Coturnix japonica: one gene and its partner. The protein of the gene in region 1 purifies or fractionates together with the protein of each later gene. This does not show direct contact. Links are inferred from orthologs where the notes say so. Each region holds a gene or a part of one and is shown on either strand. Other genes may lie near its edges.

Region 1 (3,749 bases):
TCTGCTTACCACCACAGAGCAGAGAAGGCAAAGGCAGCTCCAGGCTGTGGGACTTCAGGGGAGCAGCGTGGAGCTGAGGACCGAAGCCATTCCAGCCTGTCACAGGACACGTGTGCTGCCGATGCTTTAATTAACAAGGCCTCCCCAGTGCACCAGCCGTGTGCGGCTGACTGCAGTGATGTGGTGCCCAGCAAGGCACAGCTTCCAGCCCGACCTGTTTCTCCACAGACCCACTTACCAAAGAGTTGCGAGGATGACTTGCAAACAAGAGCTACCCCAGTGACACCGGTCCCTGTGTCGAGCCCCCAGGTCCTCTGTCAAATGATCCCTTTGAGCGGACAGAGCGGTGTGATTAATGCCTATGTCAAACCTTCAGCTCCAACCATCTCGGCTCCCATGAAACCTATTTTACCGCAGACAGCTCCGCTTTCTCAGCCCGTGCTCGTGGGATCTTCTGTGCCTCAGGGGACCGTCATGTTGGTTCTTCCACAGACTGCTGTCGCACCGACGCCGCAGTGCCCGCAAACAGTAATGACTGTTGGGAACACCAAGCTCCTGCCCCTCGCTCCTGCCCCCGTGTTCATCGCTTCTGGTCAAAGCTGCGCCCCCCAGATGGACTTTTCGAGACGGAGGAATTACGTTTGCATCTTCCCCGGGTGCAAGAAAACCTATTTCAAGAGCTCCCACCTCAAAGCCCACCTTCGTACCCACACTGGTGTGTAACGTGGGGTGAGCTGTCGTTGGGGTGCTCAAGGGTGCGTGGCAGCGGGTGGGAAAGGAAAGGGGCAGGTGGTCAGGGATCTTGTGCTCATCTGGGAGAGGAGCAGAATGCTCATTCTCCACGGGCAAGCAAAACAAAACAGACTTTGTTCTGAGACCTCAGCCGACCCCGTAGCGTTGGTTGAGTTTCACATGCTTTAGTTGGAGCAAAGCTTTGCCCTCTGTGTGCATGTGTTTAGATTGGAGTGGAACTCTGCCAGCTGGACTGGATTGCAGAGAATTGTGCAAGTCTTTATTTTGAGCGTGGAGGGCTCTGGTGTGAGCTATCCACAGTGCAGGTAGTTGTTCTTAGTTTGCATGTGAATGAAAGAAAAGGAACATTCCAATACGACCAGTACCACTACGATTAGAATTCCTAGAGTTTTGGCCAGGCTAAATAGGTGTGTGTTAAGATTTTGGGCCACAGTGTTAGGAAGTCGAGCTCCTGCAGGGATGTAACTAGTTTTACGTTAGGTAACTGTAAGTTAGTTATAATCACTGTGATTTGTTCCATAACATCTGGTTAGCATAGAGGCAGTGTAAATGTGCTCTATCTGTTCTCTTTTCAACTCTCAGATCCCGTTAAATCAAAACTAAAGGCTGAGTTCTTGGCAGGGGCTGTTTCTGATGTTGAGGAACGAGCACAGCAGGTGATTGATAAAGAAGAGCTCATCTAAATGTCTTCATTTGTTTTCCCTTTGCTTATTTCCGCCACCCTCTGTGGTTCCATGGCAGGATGTGCACCAATTTGCCAGCTTGTCTGTACAGTTCCTATGAGAACAGAGCTTAAGCTCTGTATGAAGCTGATAATCCTTGTAAACTGGAGCTCAGAGGCAGAATGGTGGTTCTGCTTCTGGTCTGTGGCAGCAGACCTCTCCCTTGGCACGTACTGCTGCTGACCCACCAGGGAAGTTGTGTCTGCTATGATGTTAAGATGAGCACCCGTGGCTGGGGAAGCACGCGGTCCCATCACTTGCCATCCTGCTGTGCAGCATCAGTGTGCAGAGCAGCAGCAACTTGCTTTTCCTGCTTCATCCCACTCACTGAGCAGCTATGTGGGCATCGTGCACACCGAGCCTCGCTTGCCATCTGCAGTAAGAACGCAGCTGCTGTGCTGCATCTTTTCTGCTGGACTTTTTGTTTGACTCCAAAGAGTTTCCCAGATTGATGGTAAAGAGTAGATGTTTATCTTGTTTTTCTTGAGGTCTATGGGGGCTGCAGTCAGCAGATGACATTGTTTAGGACGGGTGTGATGTTAAGCAGTCATCCAGCACGAGAAACTGCTGCTGAAAGCCTTCCTGGCTGCTCTCCTTCCTTGGCATCCAGAGCTCCTGTAGGAGTCTGGGTCTCTGGGCACGTGGGCTGTCTGATGTGTTGCATGGGTGTGCAGGTCACTTGAGCAGGAAGGGATGGAGGGAGTGCTGCAGGGAGCTTGAAGTCCAGCTTTTCTTTTTACCCACAGCATTTGCTCATGATGTGTAGTGCTCATAGAGCTGTGGCCACGTAGGAAGGATGGTCTCAGGGATCAGGTTTTGGTGAAGTTGCTTTTCTTTAAACAAAAGGACACAGCTCTGTGGTAAGACACAGCTTAATGGGAGCTCTCTTCCTTTCACATTCCACAGGAGAAAAGCCCTTCAGCTGCAGCTGGGAAGGCTGTGACAAGAAGTTTGCCCGCTCGGACGAACTGTCGCGGCACCGCAGAACTCACACGGGAGAGAAGAAGTTTGCCTGTCCCGTGTGCGAGCGGCGCTTCATGCGCAGCGACCACCTGACCAAGCACACGCGGCGCCACATGGCCACCAAGAAGGTCCCCAGCTGGCAGACGGAGCTGGGCAAACTGAACAGAATCGCCACGACCGAGAAACCGAAAGGCAGCGGCGCTCTGAGTATGCTCATCCCTGTGCCATCCGTCTGCCAGGGCAGCGGGACAAAGCACCTCCTCTAAACTTACTATGAGTCGCACAGAGCTCTGCTGGCTACAACAGGACTGACAGCACGGCCCTCTTCACCCCCTCAGCGTGTTTGTTTGTACATACTTGGGTTCCCTTCATTGTAGTTAATAATGCTAGGGGAGAAATGGATGCTGTGTCCTCATCCTTTTGTTTGTGTGTTGGATGTTTGGGCGGATGCAATCACCAGCACTTCAGGAAGGCAGGACTCTTTTGAAATGATTTTGGCAATAGGTTTAAACAAGTCAATAGGTTTAAACAAGTCAACGCGCATTGCTTGCTGTTAATATTTGGATGGACAGTGCAACAGGGTGATTTTTAATTTTTGATACTAGTGTTTTCTATACCAAATATATTTTGTATTTATTCCTTTGGATCTTTGTATGCAGGCTGACTTGCCCTGCGTTAGTAGAGTTGTGCAGGATGAAACCCGGGGCTTTGGGAGCTGCTTTCCTGTAAGCCCAACCAAATGCATTCGGTGCATTGTGTGAGCGTGTAATGCTCAGAAATGCGGTGCTGGGGATTTCACGCTTCTGGATTCTGGTCCTGCAGTAGATGGGTGCTGTTAGATCCTCCTTGTGCAGCTGCCGTTGGATGTTGGATAGTTTGAGATAACAGCGAGCTCAAAACCAACCCAACAAAACCACCCTAGAATGACTTTCAGAAATGAAGTGTTGGAATCCTCAGCACTGCATCAGTTCATGCTTATTGCAAGTGGAAGCTGTTGTGGCTACTAGGAAAGCTTGACACACTGCGTGTTCCTGGGTCCCCACTCTGCCCAAGCAAAGCACTGGGGAGCCAGGCTGCTCTGCTGGATGTAGAAGCACAGATGCTGTTCAGCAGCTTTGACACTAAAAACGACGCTTTACTTTCAGCCCCACAAAATCAGAGTATTAAAGTCTACTGAAAGGTAGCAAAAATGGCAGGATAAGGTGTGAGCAATTAGCTGGGTCCGTGTTTGCATTTTGTTTTAAATACAGGAGAAATAGAACATGAGGTTTACGCATTGTGGATGCTGATGCACCTCATAGAAAATTATTC
Region 2 (3,649 bases), on another chromosome or scaffold:
GCTTCACATGGTGAATGATGAGGGAAGCAGCATCCTCCAGGATCTGCTTGTCTTCATAGGCCAACGAGAGGTGTGGGCCTGTGGGAACCCCAGCATTGTCTTCTGAAGCCTGCTCTTGCCTCTACAAGTGAGAAACAAGACACAAATTAGTTCCACACGCACCTTCCTTTGCCCACAAATCTTCAGAAAGCTCTCCCAACGACACAGACTTCCTCTCTCATTACACCCCCTCGCAACAGAGGAAGCACCAGGCCTCCCTCCCACTGCTGCCAGAAGGCTCTCTGCGACAGATGCCAGAAGTTCACAAACATTCCTCCTGTTTACAAACCTTCTCCACCCCGTTTCTGTTCTAGAAATGGAGCCCACCTGCTACCAGCAGGATGACAAGCCTCCAACACAAGCAGATATCCCAACACGGAGAGCACAGCCCTTCCACAGCGAGCATCTCACTTCCCAACCACACCAGCACCAAAAGGAAAGGAACTAAAACTGCACATGCAGACTATATAAGCTTGAGGGAAGGAAACCATCTTACCTCATCATAGATGCTTTCAATCTCATTGAGGAGACTCTTTGACCTTAGGACCTTGGTATCGTTCTGCTTGAAGTTGATGCCCTGGTGGTCCAATGACTTCAGATAATACTTCTCATTCTGCTCTCGCCAGACTTTATTAAATCCTCTCTGGGCTTCTCGCCACTCTTCCTCTTTCATCTTTAACCTTGGATCAAGAAAGCAACGGTGAGATAAGAGACATAAAGGTCTCTGAGCTTGTAAGGAAAGCCTGAGACTTGGGAAATGTGCATCAATGACAGCAGTCCCACTGAGAGGAGTGTTACAAGAGCAGCACTCCGCACACCCTTTGCCAAACAAAGCCCCCTGCACACCTCTGGATACCTGAGCTTCCTGGGAACACACTCCAGAACCTCAGCTCAGTATCTCAAGCAAAGCACCTGGTGCAGCACAGCCAGAGCACTTCACAGAGCAGTATCCTGCAGCAGGGTGGGCACGCTGTGACCTTGCAGGTACTGGTGGCAAAGTGGTTTCCCTCCCCAGAGACAGTATAAGCTTTGTGGGGGGAAATGTACCTCCTTTAAGTGGTGCTACAGTTGTGCTTTTAGAGAACACTTCCTTGTTTATACACCGAGAGGATAAGGACAGCACATTACTGTATTAAATGTGTAAACAGCCTCCTCCTTAAACAACTCCAATGAGCTGCAGCCCCCACTCCTTTTTTTGTGTGATCTGTTGCAGGGAGCTGACAAAAGGAAACTAATGAGGATCCAGGCCTGAGCAGCCAGAGCTCACAGCCTCGCACAGCCATGGGATTTGGAAAGGGATCGTATTCAGCCCTGAACAATCCACATGGCACAGCTGCCTCATCTTACATACAAAGCTATGCAAAGGCTGAAGAAGAAACAAGGTTCAGAGGAGACAATAAAAGCTCTGCATCCCCCCCAGCTGAGCATTTGTGTTTCAAAAGGTGACTGTTATAAAACACAGTGACCGATCAGAATGGAATGCCTTTCTCAAATTGCATCCCTGTGCAGGTCAGACCCTCCAGGGGCAGAAATCAGCTACTTCTACATAAAGGTGGACCAAGGCAGAGCCCCCAGGGTACAGTGTCAGCGTGGTACCTTTTCAGGACTATGGGAACAGCAACAGATGGGTTCTTCCTGAGCCCATCAATGATGTCGGCTGCTTTGTCTGCATATATCCTCTGCAGGGCCTTGCGGTGGATCACCTCCGAGGTGCCTCCCAGGGTGTTGTCCAGCCGGAACTTGGCCTGCTCCTCAGCAGACAAGCGTGAGAGTTTCTTCTGGATGGCCTCAAGGACGCGAATCGTTGCCAGGTTGGTCTCCAAGACAACGTCCAGCTGAAGCGAACAGTGCGTTAGCCAGAGTTGAATAGATAAAACATGATACTTCACAGACTAACACTAAAGCGACATGAAACAAGAAGCCGGGCGTGTTTAACAAGGTGGATTTCAGAACTGGTTTCCACGTTTGGCTGCGCTGAAATAATCCAATTATATTTTATCTGCAGCCCAAGTAATGGCGTGTCAGAATTTAACGTCTACCAGAACGATGCTGTTAGGAAATTACATCTTCCATATGGGAGTAGAAAACAATTGACAGTTCCTCTACAAAAGGACATGACAGATCTGAGCACATTCAGGTAATTGCCAAGCCAGCTCCCATTTTAAGTCAAGAAGTCAATTATTTAACATCCTGAACGTATCGTTTCTTGGATTATTACAGGGGAATGTGTTCTTACAAGCTATGCGGGCATAAAGGGCTAAGAAGATGCATTGATTATATGCTGTCCATTGAACAATTCCATCTGAAGTGACGTGAGAGAAGAGCTCGGTGCACAGAGCTTGGGAAAGGGGTGGTAGCTTGGAGAGATACATGGTTACCCCAACGCTGCCTTTTGCTTTCAGATAATGCAAGCTCTTACGCAGAGAACATGCAACAGACAATAAGAACAGACTGTACGAAGCAGCATTAAGGATAGAATTAAATCAGTAGCTATTCACAGAACCCCAAGGCTTCCAAGGAAAACAACTTACCTCAAAACGCTCATCTTCACACCTGTAGATGTGCTCTTCGTATTGCGTCTTCTTGGAGCTGACAAAAGTTGAGTCTTCAGACCAGGAAGGGAATGAGACCCAGGTGTCATTCAAAACCTTGCAGTACGACAGAGAAAGACAAGCATCACAGTCAGTCTTGGGAGGGGAGTGTCACAGAGATGCTTGGCTGCTGATGGAGGAGCAGCAAAAATTGCTTCTCCCTTCCACTGCAGAGGATGCCCAGCACCCACAGGGCAACCTCTAACAGCCAGAGATGAAACAACCCAGCGGTCTGGAAAACTCATCCATTGGAAATGTAAGAAAAGACTTGGAAGGGAAGAGAGAAAGAGAGATGAAAGGAACCTTTCCGATCCATTGGAAGAACTGGCTCACTGTGGTTCACTCATCCCACGTCTGATTCACCACTGACAGCACCAGGTGGTCATAATGCTAACCATGACCAATGGACACAACGTGGTTTCTACCTCCAAATGAGACTCAGTAGGAGCATCAATCCATAACCCAGCAACGCCTTTCCTGACTAAAGATGCTGAGAACCTCCAAAGCAGGAATGGATCATCCAAAAAAACCTCAAAGAGACCAAAGGCAACAGAACAAAAGCTTCTGGTAGGTGATCTTGAAAAATCAAGCCTCATTTTCCTCAACCTGAAGCCTGAACAACCAAGACATTAAAATCTTGCAGAAAGAAAAGTTTACAGCTGCATCACACAAGATACTTCTGAGATACATGTTAGGACTTAGATTAAAAACTTACAGTTCTTTCTTGCCTGGGTTGTTTTCACTATCCTGCCATCCAATTAACCACATATCACTGCTCACTGCTTGACTTGATCACCTGCATTCATCCTCATTTCTCAAGGAAAAGAGGCAAAACTGGGATGCTCCATAATCTTCTGCCTGTTTGTTCTCCCCATTGACAGCAGTCACCCAGGAAGGGGGCTTCCAACACCGGCAAAGGAGCAGGATCAGTCAGCACCACTCCTCTCCAACCAAAAGGTGGATACATGAAAGGAGCTGCTTACCTCTTTACACAGTGGCGTCCGCCCCGTGCACTTGGG

What was found.
Region 2: the proteins of KLF11 (region 1) and SIN3A purify together in Homo sapiens (affinity purification with western blotting, with the first as the bait; 3 studies listed by BioGRID). This does not show direct contact. The link is inferred for Coturnix japonica from reciprocal best matches to the Homo sapiens genes KLF11 and SIN3A.

What each region holds. Positions count from the first base shown.
Region 1 is NC_029518.1:88,046,978-88,050,726, forward strand, and holds part of KLF11 (Krueppel-like factor 11), read left to right. Parts: coding exon 1-715; intron 716-2,381; coding exon 2,382-2,704; 3' UTR 2,705-3,749. UniProt on the Homo sapiens protein: Transcription factor. Activates the epsilon- and gamma-globin gene promoters and, to a much lower degree, the beta-globin gene and represses promoters containing SP1-like binding inhibiting cell growth.
Region 2 is NC_029525.1:1,969,169-1,972,817, forward strand, and holds part of SIN3A (paired amphipathic helix protein Sin3a), read right to left. Parts: coding exon 3,614-3,649; intron 2,688-3,613; coding exon 2,571-2,687; intron 1,875-2,570; coding exon 1,636-1,874; intron 720-1,635; coding exon 536-719; intron 122-535; coding exon 1-121. UniProt on the Homo sapiens protein: Acts as a transcriptional repressor. Corepressor for REST. Interacts with MXI1 to repress MYC responsive genes and antagonize MYC oncogenic activities. Also interacts with MXD1-MAX heterodimers to repress transcription by tethering SIN3A to DNA.